Linked DNA regions of Diceros bicornis minor. The protein of the gene in region 1 interacts with the protein of each later gene in a biochemical or structural test. Links are inferred from orthologs where the notes say so. Each region holds a gene or a part of one and is shown in the gene's direction. Other genes may lie near its edges.

Region 1 (7,900 bases):
CGCGCACCGACGCACCACTTCTCCGGCCATGCTGAGGCCAAGTCCCACATATAGCAACTAGAAGGATGTGCAGCTATGACATACAACTATCTACTGGGGCTTTGGGGGAAAAAATAAATAAATAAAATTATTATTAAAAAAAATAAAGCTCTAAACAGACTTTTTGTGTGTGTGTGTGAGGAAGATCAGCCCTGAGCTAACATCCATCCCAATCCTCCTCTTTTTTTTGCTGAGGAAGACTGGCCCTGGGCTAACATCTGTGCCCATCTTCCTCCGCTTTATATGGGACCCCACCACAGCATGGCCTGACAAGCAGTGCGTCGGTGCATGCCCAGGATCCGAACCTGGGCCACCAGCAGCGGAGCATGCGCACTTAACCGCTACGCTATGGGCCGGCCCCTAAACAGACTTTCTTTGATTCTTTTTTTCTTGCCCCTTTTTGGAATGGTGTTTTTCCTTTGGCACTTGACCCTGATGAGTACATCTTGGCTGGTTCACCCTATTCTTATGCTCTATTTCTAATTCTAACACCAATTATTGATATTTAATTAGATTTCTAGAGGAATTAGGCCTTTCTTACCAAGTTCCTAGTCCACTCCTAATGGTGAAAACTGCTCACTGCACAACTCCCTCATTCATTCCTTCACTTGCCTATTAGGATCCAGGAACTGAGCTAGGTGCTGGGAATAAAACTGTAAACAAGACCGACAGGTCTCTGCTTTCATGGAACTTCCATTCTGCTGAGAGAGACAACCAAACAAAAATTTAGGTCAAAACAACCTGACTGATGCTCCCGGCACTATTCTAGGATTTTTTTTTTTTTTTTTTAAGAAGATCAGCCTTGAGGGGCCAGCCCGGTGGTGCAAGTAGTTAAGTGCGCGCGCTCAGCTGTGGCGGCCCGGGGTTCGCCGGTTTGGATCCCGGGCGCGCACCGACACACCGCTTGTTAAACCATGCTGTGGCGGCGTCCCATATAAAGTAGAAGAAGATGCGCACAGATGTTAGCCCAGGGCCAGTCTTCCTCAGCAAAAAAGAGGAGGATTGGCATTGGATGTTAGCTCAGGGCTGGTCCTCCTCACAAAAAAGAAAAAAAAAAAATCAGCCTTGAGCTAACATCCACCCCAATCCTCCTCTTTTTGCTGAGGAAGACTGGTCCTGAGCTAACATCTATTGCCAATCCTCCTCCTTTTTCTTTCCCTTTTTCTCCCCAAAGCCCCAGTAGATAATTGTATGTTATAGTTGCACATCCTTCTTAGTTGCTGTATGGGACAGCACCTCAGCATGGCCGGACAAGCGGTGCATGGGTGCGTGCCCGGGATCCGAACCCAGGCCGCCAGTGGCGAAGCGCGTACACTTAACCGCTAAGCCAGGGGGCCGGCCCCTAGGATTTTTTTTTCCATGTATTTTCTCTCTGCAGCCTTCCATAGGATCCTGTGTGCAGTCCTACAGTAATTAAGCACTGGGATCTGAGTCGGAAAGCCTGAGTTCAATATGATACTGGCTCTGCCACTTCAAGCTGGGTGACAAAGTTGCCCAATCTCTCTATGTTTCACTTTCTTCATCTGTAAAATGAGGATAATAATAATAGAGTCTTTGTGAGGATTAAGGGCTTAGCACAGAATCCCCAAATAATAAGCACTCAATTAATGTCTGCCACTGTTCTTCTTTTCTATATACACTACTCTTTGTACTTTTTTTCCCAAAGCACTCTTTTCCAGTGCACATCCACTCCCTTTCCCACCCCTTTAAAAATGATGGAGGGAGAAACTTAATGTTGAAAAATTTCTATCTGTTCACAATTTGTTTCCTGGAAATTGGAAAGAGACTCTCAGTATACAATGGGCTCAGCTCACAAAATTCCACTCTGTCATTGGAATATATATTGCTCACACATTTGAACGTGCTTAACTACTTCTTATACGAACTCCTCCTTTGCCTGAAGGTGATTTTATAATTTAGCATAATTTTGGAGGGGGGATACTGTAGGACACACCTGTCACCCTGAAGCTAATGCCTAAACAACCATTTTATTATTGGAGACCCCCACATATCAATGAGGGTAAGTTTAACATGCTGTATTCCTCTTTGATGGTTCTGCAGTCCTACAAGGCTGGAAGGTATATGATGGCAACAGAAGACCTGGGTTCAGGAGAGTAAGGATAGCATCTCTTTTCCTTTTTCTACAGTACCTGGACAGCACCCAACATGCAGTAGAAGCTCAATCAACACTACTTCCCAGCTGTGTGATATTGGCAAGTTACTTAACTCCTCTGAGCCTCAGTTGTAAATAAATACTACACTCACTTGGAAGGGTTGGTGTAAGGAAAAAATGAGCTAATATTAATAAAGCCCCACGCGGTGCCTGACACATGGCAGTTGGTTCTCTTTCCCTTTCACTTCTTGTGTATTTCCTACTTAACCCCCCCCCCGCCCCCCGCCACCAAATTATAAGTTATTTGAGTCAGCAACTTTGTCTACATTTCTTTGTCTGCCCAAGGCCTAGCACAGGACTTTACACATAATGATAGTTTCAGTTATTCATTCATTCAGTGAATCTTTGAGCACCTACAATGGACAGAAGCTTAGAGTTGAGAGAGCAGGCACATTCGGGAACCCTGAGTAATTAAATATGACTGAAGCAGAGGCTTCCAGGAGAAATGATGAGAAAGAGCTAGAATGGTTAGCTTGGATTAGTTCTCAAAGGGCTTTGTAGGTCTTATAAGAATTGTGGACTTCATCCTATAGGGTACAAGATTGCCACTTAACCAAAGAGTGGTGGAAACTTATTTTGTTTTTATTTTAGAATGGTTTGCGGTTCTCAGACTTTAGTGTGTTTAAGAATCACCAGGGAAGTTTGTTAATAAAGTGTGATCCCAGAGCCACACTGCCCAAGAATACGCACTTAAACCAGCACCCTAGATGATACTGATTCACTTAAATATTCTGGCACAAGTGGGACATCCCTTAAAACATAAAGATCACTTAGGATGCTACTGTAGTAGCCCTAGGGAGAGCTGACTTGAACCTAGGATTCCTCTACCTCCCTGCCTCAATCTGCCTTCCTTGGCCTGTCTTACATCTAAGGCCTTAAGCCTCCTCTTCCCCATGGAGGACCAGCTGGAAGCCCAGCAAATGCAGCCTAGCCCAGCGACTAGACAGAGGCTGAAGAGAAGTAAACAGATTTGGTAGGTATTTAGAAGGTGGAATAGACAAGACTTGAAGATTGATTGTATGGGGAGGGTGTGAAGGAGAGGAAGGAGTCTAGGATGCCCCCTGGCTTTCTGGCTTGGAGCAATGTTGTAATGGTGTGGCATTCAGTGAACCGGCACCTTGATAGAGAGGGGCAGATTGAGGAAGGTAAACTGAGACATTTTAGTTGAGATTTGTAGTTTGCAGTGCCTCTGAGACATCCAAGTGGAGATGTTCAGAAGTCAGTTGGATTTATAGATTGGAAGCTCAGAGAAAGATCTGGACTAGAAATATAGATTTGAGAATCATTAGCAAATAGATAGTAATGGAAGTGGGTGAAATCATCCCAGGAGAGGGAATAGAATGATAAGAGAAAAGGATATAGAACAAAACCCAAGGAACATTTAAGGGAAGGGCTGAGGAAGAAAAAAATTGCAAAGGGATCAAGGACAGGCCAGAGTCACAACCCGAAGTCACAGGGAGGGAGTTCAAGAGGAGTGATGAACTGGGAAGCATACTGGATTCAGCAAATAAGTCTGTGGTGACCTTGTAGAGAGCAGTTTTAGTGGAGCTACCAGGACAGCACCAGATTGCAGAAGATTATGGAGTGAGTGGGAGGTGAGGGAGTGGAGACAGCTGGCATGGACATTTTTTCAAGATGTTTGGCCAAGAATGGAGAAAGATATGGTGGTAACTTAAGAAGGAAATAGAATTGAGAGAGAATCTTGAGAGAGAGACTATTTCTGTGCAACAGAAGAGTGGAAGAAAATACAGGGACAAAGGAAATAATCAATAAAACCTCCTGAGAGGAGCGGTTGGAATCCCCTGTACAGACGTCAGGATTGTTCTGAAGACAGGAGAGACCTACTTTTTTTTAACCAGAAGGAAAGAGGAAATGATTGATTGGTTTGGAAGCCTGATATTGGGTAGTTCTCTCTGATGGATTCTGTTTCCTCTCAGAGGTTGGGATCCAGGCCATGAGTAAGGAGTCCGTTGGATGAACATTTTTCCTCAACTAGTCAAAGTAGAGGGTTACCAGCAGGACTGAGGTAGTCACTGCACTGAGGCAAGAGCCTGGTGGGAAGCAGGTTGACGTTGAAGCTTTAAAATCCAAAGGATGAGAAGCTGACTGAGAGAAAGTGTGATGTTCCTCTAATCGTAGGGAAAACTGCATTTGTGCCACCGAACAAGAGGGTTTTTCCAGAACCTTATGCTGGGGCTTTGATTTAGGCTCCCCCTTCCTCGTCTAGTCAGTCTGCCTTCCCTGCCCTGTCTCTCACATCTAGGCCTCAAGCCTTCTCGTCCCCACCGAAAACCAGCTGGAAGCCATTTTGATTAAGCTCCACCACAGAAGGAGGACAATACAGCCCCGCCCAGAGCCACGCGCGCCCCCGCGCGGGCCGGGTGCGCGTGTCCGCGCCTCTTCCCGCCGGCCTGGCGGGCGCCGAGCCCAGACCCAGGCGGCGCGGGGCGGGGGTGGGGCGGGGGTGGTTATGTAAGCGTTGCGCGCTCCCGCGAGGCGACAGCCAATGGAAAGCCCCGGCGGCTCGTGCTCGCGCACGCAGGGTGGGGGGAGGGAGCGCACGACGTGCGCGCGCCCTCTCCCTCCTCCACCGCTGCCGCCTCCTTCTGCCGCTCCTGGTGCTGCTTGTGTGCTCGTTCGGTGCGGACCTGGTACCTCTTTTGTGAAGCGGCAGCTGAGGAGACTCCGGCGTTCGCTATGGCCGACGAAAAGCCCAAGGTGAGCTCGGCGCCGGCCTCCTCGCCTCGCCGCGCGGCCGGAGTCATGGCGGGGGCTGGGGTCCGGCCCGAGCCCGCCGCGGGCTCCCCGCGCCTTCCCGGGCCCCCCATGGGGCCGGCCGCGGCTCAGGCCCGGCGCTCCGCGCCATTTTCCTCCCTCCCCTCTTCCTCCCTCCCGCGCCGGAGGAGGCCCCGCCGCCCTCCCCCGCCCCCGGCAGCCTCAGAGTGCGCGCCGAGCGCGAGTTGGGCGGGCGGATCGCGGACGCCCGCGGGCCCACCGGCCGCGAGCGGGGCTCCTCGGGCCCGGCCGGCCGGGCGCGCGTGAGGAGGGGCGTTAGGGCGCGCGGTGTCCCCACCCTCCGCGGACCCCGGGGCGGGTGTTGCCGCCTCCGCGGTGGCGGGGAGTTCCCTCCGCCTGGGGCTTCCTCCCTCGGGGGTGGGGGCCGCGGGCATCTGGGGACCCCTGCCCTGGCCGCATTGGCCGGTGAGGGCTCCGGCGAATCAATGGGCTGCCGATGGGTTGGAAGCCGGATGCGTGAGGGGCCGGGGGGTGGGGGGGTTCCCAGGGAGTATCTCCCACCTTGATGGCCTTAGGATCCCCGAGGGGGCTGGGCAGGGGCTTTTCCCTGGGTGCCAAGTAACCTCCAACCTCCGAAGAACATGTGGTTTCGAGAAGTTGGAGACAGATGTACAAGCAGAGAGACTTTGTGGGGCTTAACTTTTTGAGTTTTGAGGCACCGGGAGGCTTCTCCCGGGAGGACGAGAGCACACACTTCTTCCTGGCACACGAGACTTTCTTTTGGCTTGGTTTGTGACACCCCCTCCCTTCTTTCTGAAGTGATTTAGGGGCTACAGGATTCCTTCTACACTTGATTTTGGCAAACTTCAGATTGGGTCTAAATCTACAAGGAAGACTTGGAATAAAACTGTGCATTTGACCCGTGACAACAAAGGGGAGGGGAGAAGAAGAGCTCTTAACGAAAAATAAATACGAAGCTGCTCATAGTAGAGGCGACCATTAATAGTGGTTCTGAGTTATTGCCGCTGCTTCGGAGACAATGAAAGGATATTCCTCAATTAGATTTTTTTTAATGTTGTTGGAGATTTAACTTATTAAACTGAGTTTGGTAACTTTTTAAGAAGAGGTTTGTAATGAGTGTTGAATAGCAAGCTCTAGGTTTTTTTCCCTTGCATTCTGTACTTGAAGCACTTTGAAAGAGAAAAGACACTTATTTTTAATCTTTTTAGGGGAAAGGTATATTTTGAGAGTGATATAAAGTATGCCATTTTAGGAAATTCAGATGCAAGAAAGCATTGCAGTAAATTAAGTGGGACTCTTTAAAAATCGATTGTTGTCCCCGATAGTATTGCATGTGGGCTGCTTTCTGTTTCTGTGACAGCTGTTTAATATTGTTGCTCCAGGATTTCTCATCTTTCAGATTGATTTCAGCCAGTGAAAACAGCTGTATGCTCATTTATCATACAGAGTGAGAAACCTGTTGATTTCTGAAGCAACTTGGGCTGCTGCTGCTGCTTTAAAAGGAGTTTGTTTTTCACATTTTCCAAATTATACTTTTATTTTTCTTTCAACAGGAAGGAGTCAAGACTGAGAACAACGATCATATTAATTTGAAGGTGGCGGGGCAGGATGGTTCTGTGGTGCAGTTTAAGATTAAGAGGCATACACCACTTAGTAAACTAATGAAAGCCTATTGTGAACGACAGGTGAGGAACTGACGTGCACTTCCACTGAATAGAAATTATTTTAAAAAAGCAAACTTTATTTTCTTGAGAACAGAAACTAGACTAGCGTAATATTATAATAGACTATCTTTGGTAGAATGAATATGCATTTATATACCTGACATATTAGTTTCATCATACAGTTGGTATGTTGATTCTTCGTGAAAACCCTTAGGATGGTTTGATTAATATTACCTATGATTCTAGTCCTATGCCAGAAATGCATCAAATTATATTCAGAGCATGTGATTTGTTCCCAAGGGGATATAATTTTATAAGAAAATAAGAATGAACTTGGTAAAATTTCGTCAGGCTCTTTTTTTATCCATTTAAAGTTTGTCTTGTGTCAAAACAATTTAGAGTATTTTAAACGATTTGGAAATAAAAGTAAATGTGAGTTTAAGGACATTGCAATTTTCCTGAAGTGTGTAAAATTGTAGTGTTTCTTTTTACACTATTAGTAGAGGTCAAGAAATTTAACCTCCTGGCCAAGCATAAACATTCCTATATTATAGGGACATTTGCATTTTACTCAGAAAATAGTAAATAGACATCAAGAAGAGGAAGTAGAAATGAACAGATGCTGGGAGGTAAATGCAAGCTTCAAGACAAAGAAACTTCTTTTTGTGATGTTGAGTCTGTAACAATACAAAGGCAACTTTAAAGATGACTTTTGCAAGTATAACAAAAACACTGGTTCCTAGATCAGTTAATCCAGTACCTTGCAGAAATATTTTTCTTGTTCAATTCTGAATGTATAATATATAAAAGTTGGGAAAATCATTCTTTTAGACCAAAACACCTCTACGTTGGAAATTGTCCTAAAAATAGGCTTAAAATAGAATAAAGCTTAAACCTGTAGAAGTTGGGAAATTGAGTTGAGTTGATGCTTGGGCTTCCTCCATGAGACCTAAGGGCATTTGAAAGAAACTGAAGATATAAACTTCTTTTTGAGTTTGAAGCTTTATTTTATGCCTAATTTATTTATAATGTAATAAGAGAATACTGTGCTTATAATTCTTTGTCCTCGTTCGTAAACTTTCTTATACTTCCTTACAAAGATAAGATTTTCAGTATACTCTTATTTGAAGAATTTTCGTGAAATCCTCCTAACAGTAAATTTGTACTTATTAATTGTGCTAAAGAATTTTTGCACTAGAATCTTCCCTATTTGAACACTAGTTCTCCTTCAGGTTACAGGAGAATTTTAAAAGGTAATCATTTTGTA
Region 2 (6,934 bases), on another chromosome or scaffold:
GGATAAGAGCCCCTCCCCGCCCCCCCCCACGCTGGGCACCGCCCCTCCACGCAGCGCACAAAGAGCCAGGGAGACGCAGAAAGGAGCCGCTGCAGCAGTCGACCACCTCCCGCCCCCCGCCACGTGACTGCGGCGCACGCGCACGCCGAGCAGCCAACAAAGAGGCGCCGAGCGTGGGCGGGGCCGAGGCGCGAATTCCGCGCGCCAGGGGCGGGGCTCGGCTCGGGCTCGCGCGCCCCCGGCCGGCCCTCAGGGCCGCATTGTCCCGGCGCGCCAAGGGGCGCCCGGGCCCCGCCCTTCTGCTACAACGTAGCAGCCGCACTTCCTCCCGCCCCTCCCCCGCTACACTGTAACCGCGCGCAAAAGAAAAAAAAAATCCCCCCTTGGCCTCGAATTTTATTCCTTCGCTTTTCCCCCCTTGCTTTAAATGAGGATCACCTTCCTTTCTCCCATCCTTTAGTCGTAAGGGACCCTTTAAAGAAAACGACCCCCTCCTTTTCTCCCGCCCTCTTTCTCATCTGTTCACTCCCTAAAAGGGTCTCTTTTAAGGGGAAATCAAAGAAAGTAAAATTAATCAAGCACATGTTAGCCTTCCATCCACGAAAAACTACCGGACCGCCCCTCGGGGATCGCGGGCGCGCGGAGAGCCCCGATCTTTTGTGAATGGTAACGCGTAGTGCAACCCAGTGGCCCACCGCGTCCCCCACCTTGGGATCCCAGCTCTCTGCAGCTGCCCGCCCAGCCTCGTCCCTTCCTCCTCCGGCTTAGCCACATAAAGCCCCGCCAAGGGAGATGCACCCGGGGAAAACCTCGCCTCGCTTTGTCTCGGACTGTTTCCGCATGTCCCTCCCTCCCCAGTCTTCAGACCGTTAGGAGATCCTCTTTAAGTAAAAGCTTGCAGAACCTCGGTCTTCCCGCCCCCTAAATCTGAAGGGTGCTTTTAATGGCTTCCCCAAAATGAGCCTGCCAAAAAAAAATCATTCCCCATTTTCTTAAGAGCAAATTCTAGCAACAAATGGGTATTATATATATAAAACTTTTTTTGGCAAAGCTTGGCTAAAGATGAAGAGTGCAAATGTCCTACAACCACTCTTTATCATTTGTCCGGGTTTTTTCCTTCGGAAAAAGAAATATAGTTAAAAGAGGTTTAAAATCCTTACCTTGGCACCGATCTGGTTGCCACATTGACCGGCCTGGATGTGCACGATTTCCCTCATGTTTAAAATTTATTTTAATTCTTTTCCTCGCCTCAAGGTGTGTACGGGGCAAGAAAACGATATGTGGGGTTTTTTTTCTCTGCTGCTGGCCGCAGGCTGGAAGGATGGGACGTGCCCCGGAGGCTGGAGCAGCGAGGTCCGAACGCGGCGGCAGGAAGGTTCTGAGAGGGAGAAAGGAGAGGGGAGGGCGCAGGAGGGAAGGCTGGCAGGGCGGGGCGCGCTTGCGCCGGGGTGGGAAGGCGGGAGAACGCGCTCCGCGCCGCGGTGGGGAGACAAAGCTTCATCGAGGCTGGCCCTGATTAGTCGATGCTGGTCATGTATCAGACGTCCATTGGTCTCTGCGCGAGTGGACGAACGCAGTCAGCTCTGGGAGTTGTAGTCCTCTATTGTTGTCCACGCTGCAAAATGAAGGGACGAATGGGTGGGTACCGGGTTTTTGGTTTTGGACTTTTTTTGTATTTTATGAAAAAATGACCTTGCGTACGATTTCTTTCCTCTATGCCTGAGTTTTTTGTACAAAAAGAGCGTCGTTTTCGGGGATACAGGATTTGGGACCCCTGGAGTGCCAGGCGTTGGAAGGAGTGGGCACGCCCTGAAAGCTCCCCGCGGCGGTAGCTCTTGGGAAGACAGGACTGCTTAGCTCAGCGAAAACTGGGGAGAAATGCGGCACCCTGCTCTGCTATCTAACAGCTGGTCCTTTGGTGACCCAAGGCATGAACTCCAGTAAGCCGCCGCTCCCCCAGATACTCAGGAAGAAGGAGGGGATTGCCCTCCTATTTCTTTGGGAGTTTTCTAATGATAATATTTTGAAAGAGAAACAAAATTGCAACAGGGGCTTTTCAGGATAGAGATGTAATTGTCCGGAGGTTACGTTCAGAGAATAAGTTGAATAGTTTAGAGAAGCTGATATCTGGGATCTGTGAAGCCAGAAGTTTCCTTCCGTGTAGGGGATCTGGGCCTTAGAGCAGCGTTGAAGACACTGTGGTCTTGTCAAACAGAACTATGGGGTGGGATGCCTGATAGAATTTCAGTGTCTTTCCAGCCTTTTTCAGTTCGCTGATTTCACTGACCAGCTGGCTGGCCACTGCAACCTTTCAAGAACCCCAGGATTGAACAAAAGGGGGATAGGGAGGGAGATGGATGGGAGAAAATTGGACGGGCTCAAGTCAGAGCCGCATGTTTCTTCTCAGGCATTAATTCATTTGATAGATACTAAGTGTCCACCAAACCAGGAGCTAGGGATACAAAAACGATTAAAAATTCTCTCCCTGGCCTACCAGGATCTTGCAGTTTCGTGAGAAGTGTATAAACAATGGAGTGTGGTAATACCATAATACAGGACATGTGATATCAAGGTCATCACTGATAATTCACATTGGATTCAACACACATTTCTCAGTCACCTAAATAAAAGAATATCAAGTTGTGTAAGACCCCTCTACCCACTCAAAATAAAATGTTTTATGTTTTAGGGCATGGTCACAATGAAAGTAGTTATTTTGTGGCAGTGGAGAGAGTTCAGAATTTAGAATGAGCGGACGTTTCAATTTCTCTACCTTACATTAGCTGTAGGAACCTAAGCAAGTCATTCACCTTCGCAGAGCTTCAATTCCCTCTGTAAAATCTACTTCTGCCTATTTGATTGCTGTGGTCAGGCTGAAGTGAGATAAAATGCAAAAGGACTTCCTAAATCATACACATGTCAAATTGTTACTATCCTCTTCTGTCTTAGTATGAGATGATGAAATAAATGGTTTTATCATTCTTCTTTAACCCCTTGAAAGACCTCGGTCAGCCTTTAAGATGGTTAGCAAAATAGTTCTTTCTGTTCGCCTAGGGATCTTTGCTTTAGGAAAATGACCTCAAAATGTCTATCAGGGATGTATTCTCAAGGAGGAAATGACATGACTTCTACTAAACAAGCCAAATCAAAAAGAAATGAACTTCCATTGCAATGAGGAGTCCTCAAGCGCCACGCCTACGGGCAGTTCTCCAAACTGCAGCCTCCGGCCACGACTGCAACCCGCAACCCGTTTTCACTTCTCATGAGTCAGCGGACACCATGTCTGGGAGGACTGAGGAAGGGCGCTCTGGCCGCACTAGACGCATCGGGCGACGACTATGGTAAGTCCCTCTATCCGCGCCGGCAACCAGACTCTGTGGTCGCGGTTTGGAAATCTGCGCGGGAAGTGGGCGGTGGGTGGTGAGGCGGTAGTGGGTTGTCCCTCGCAACTGCCCAATCGGAGTGCGCGATTCTGAGCGCGGAGGGCGGCCTCTGCTTACCGCCTCGCACAACGGATCTCAAGCCCCTGAGAGAAGCCGCCCCTTTGAGCGGTGAGGGGGCTGGGCGGGGATGGGGGCGGGGCTATGGATGTGCGTCCGCGTTGGATATTTGATCAATCGGCCTGCCGCAGGACTGTGAAAGACAGCGGCGGGAGCCAATCAGAGAATCGGCTCCCTCCGGGCGCGAGCAGTCGCGCCACCGGCCCGCGGCCGTTACTGGTGGCGCGCGCGGGGACTCAAAGTAGGTGAGTTCTGGGGGGCCTTGCCCACAGCTCCCCGGGTGCCATCTTGGTTCTCCTGGAGGGCGGGAGGGGCGTGCCTTGGGTGCGACTGGGCGGAGGAGATTTGGAAGTTTGCTTCTCGGATTATAATATTCATCTTTACTTGACGCCCCTCCCCGAGTTTAGGTATGAAGACACAGGGAGACGTTAGGCCAGGAGGGAACCCACTGGGATGGGGATCAAAGATGGTGGCCCATTGGATTGGAGCCAAGGGTCATGGGCACCCGCTGAGTTCGCCAGTCTTAATGACGGAGTTGGTACTATCTCCAAGGAGGCGTCCCACTTTCCCTTCCTGTCAACAGTTTCCCTCTAGGGTGGCATCTTGCTAAGTGAGTTCCGTCCCTGCTATTTTGAGTTTTCATCTTTCATTTGTTCTTTCATCAGGAGGGCAGGGTGAATTTTATGTTTCGTTCATGAATATATCCTGAATACTTCGAACGGTACCAGGTGCACAATGACTACTCTTGAAGGAATATGATGGACCCCAGGGGAAAAGACACTTCTGCTGGTCCAGTTCTCGAAGGGATGTGTGAAGGCAGAAAGGGAAAGTAACGGTTACAATATGGTGAGAAGTGTTAGGATAGTTTCAAGTCCTTTCACCATTGTGGAACACGTACGATACACCAGGAACACCAGAAAGCAGGCAAGACTCCAGGAAGGGCTTTGCTAAGGAAGTGACATTTGAACTGAATTGTAAAAGATGGGTAGGAGTTAGACCAGAAAACTAGGAGCAAAGGGCCAAGGAGCTGGATAAGGCATGCAGATGTGGGGGACAACAGGAACAGTGTGTTCAGAGAGTAGGGAGAAGATTCATGTGGTTGAACCATAGGCTTGAGGGGAGGCATACATTGCAGGACATGAAGTTCAGATCATAGAGGGTCTTGCTAAGGAGTTTAGATTTTATGTTATCCTGTGGGCATGGAAAGCCATCAAAGAATATTAAACAGGGGCTGGCCCGGTAGCATAGTGGTTAAGGTGCTCTACTTCGGTGGCCCTGGGTTTGTGGGTTCGGATCCCGGGTGCGGACATACGCACTGCTCATCAAGCCATGCTGTGGCAGGCGTCCCACAAATAAAATAGAGGAAGATTGGCACAGATGTTAGCTCAGGGACCATCTTCCTCAAGCATGAAGAGAAAGATTGGCAACAGATGTTAGCTCAGGGCCAATCTTCCTCACCAAAAAAATATGTGTATGTATTAAACAGGGGAGGGACATGTGGGTGATCTTGGGCATTTTCCTTAACCCATCTATGTTGCAGTTTCTTTATCTGAGAAATAGAAGTTAATAATAACACTTTGTAGGGTTCTTGTGATGATTAAATGAGTCAGTCCATGCAAAGTAACTAGAACAGTGCTTGACACGTAGCAAGCATCTATATATGTCAGCTATTATGATTCTTTGCAGTTAGTCTGATCACACTGAGATGGTCTGGTAAAGGGTAAAAAGCATGGGCTTTGCAGCCAGAAGCACCTTTATTCCTGTCCTTTCCACTTACCTGCTGTTATCTGCAGCAAATTACTTAATATTTTAGCCTTAGATTCCTAAATGCCTGCCTCATATCATTACCATGCCTGACACGTAACACCATGCCTGACAGATAGTTGATGCTTGGCAAAAGTTAGCTCCCTTTAAAATGGTGTATTTCAAACTATGGGTTGCAACCCAATAGTGGATAGTGAAATCAATTTAGTGGGTTGCAAATCAGCATTTGAAAAATAGAGAATAGGGCTGGCCCCGTGGCGTAGCAGGTAAGTGTGCTGGCTCTGCTTCTGGCGGCCCAGGTTCGGATCTCAGGCACACACCAACGCACCGCTTGTCAGGCCATGCTGTGGCGGCGTCCCATATAAAGTGGAGGAAGATAGGCACAGATGTTAGCCCAGGGCCAGTCTTCCTCAGCAAAAACAGGAGGATTGGCATGGATGTTAGCTCAGGGCTGATCTTCCTCACACACAAAAAACAAAAAATTAAAAAAATTAAAAATAGAGAACAGAAAAAAATAGAATGAAGCTATCAGTGTGTTGTATATAGTAAGGCTAGGCAGTTTTTCTCAAAACATTTGTCTGTATAAATAAGCACGTGTGTTTGTATATATTTGGGACCTTATGATATTTATTTCTTATTCTGTATCGTGGTCAAAAATATTTTTTAAATGCTTCAGAAAGATAACCACGGAATGATCGGCGGAAAGAGAAGCATGAACCTCCATAACTATCCAGGTTTACCCCGGTTATCAGTCTTCTCTCTGAGGCTGTGTGTGTGAACCAATAATAGAGATGATGATGTGTTTCCTTCCCAGATTATGGAGGACACTCAGGCTATTGACTGGGAGGCTGAAGAAGAGGAGGAGACAGAGAGACCCAGTGAATCCTTGGGGTGTAACTTGGCGCCCGTAGGGCGACTGCATATCTTCAGTAGTGCCTATGGACCAGAAAAAGGTCAGAGGGTATTGGATGCTGAAGTACTGGTATAGGCCTCTTATTTTTGTAAGGAAGTAGTAGGAGGTTTGCAGGAGGCTTATATATGTTTCAAGGAGATGTGAAAAAATTCTTTTACTGGCAATGGAGAACAGGGGGCTGATTGAGTTAATTGCTCCAGGCAAGTGCCCTGGACTCACCGGAGGTGATTTTACTTTGCTAGAAAATTAAGAGATTCAAATAAAAATCCAGTGTGGTCTGGAAATGGATGGTAGTGATGGTTGCACAACAATGTGAATATACTTAATGCCACTGAACTGTACACTTAGAAATGGTTAGGGCCAGCCCCGTGGCGTAGCGGTTAAGTGCGCAGGCTCAGCTGCTGGCTGCCCGGGTTTGGATCCCGGGCGCGCACCATTGCACCGCTTGTCAGGCCATGCTGTGGCGGCGTCCCATGTAAAGTGGAGGAAGATAGGCACAGATGTTAGCCCAGGGCCAGTCTTCCTCAGCAAAAACAGGAGGATTGGCATGGATGTTAGCTCAGGGCTGATCTTCCTCACAAAAAAAAAAAAAAAAAAGAAATGGTTAAAATGGTAAACCTTATGTATATTTTATCACAATAGAAAAAAATCCCGTGTGGAGGATGAGGTATTGACTATGAATAATATGTTACATATATTCTTCAATATCTAGATGTCCTGGGGCCTTTTATTTGTCTAATGCATGTGGGGACCTTGT

What was found.
Region 2: the proteins of SUMO2 (region 1) and MDC1 form a complex in vitro, tested with the Homo sapiens proteins (2 studies listed by BioGRID). The link is inferred for Diceros bicornis minor from reciprocal best matches to the Homo sapiens genes SUMO2 and MDC1.

Annotation. Positions count from the first base shown.
Region 1 is NC_080757.1:55,707,935-55,715,834, reverse strand, and holds the start of SUMO2 (small ubiquitin-related modifier 2), read left to right. Parts: upstream 1-4,795; 5' UTR 4,796-4,909; coding exon 4,910-4,930; intron 4,931-6,522; coding exon 6,523-6,654; intron 6,655-7,900. UniProt on the Homo sapiens protein: Ubiquitin-like protein that can be covalently attached to proteins as a monomer or as a lysine-linked polymer.
Region 2 is NC_080753.1:34,401,587-34,408,520, forward strand, and holds the start of MDC1 (mediator of DNA damage checkpoint protein 1), read left to right. Parts: upstream 1-3,927; 5' UTR 3,928-4,343; coding exon 4,344-4,346; intron 4,347-6,078; coding exon 6,079-6,217; intron 6,218-6,934. Other genes in the region: TUBB (tubulin beta chain), read right to left, coding at 1,161-1,217. UniProt on the Homo sapiens protein: Histone reader protein required for checkpoint-mediated cell cycle arrest in response to DNA damage within both the S phase and G2/M phases of the cell cycle.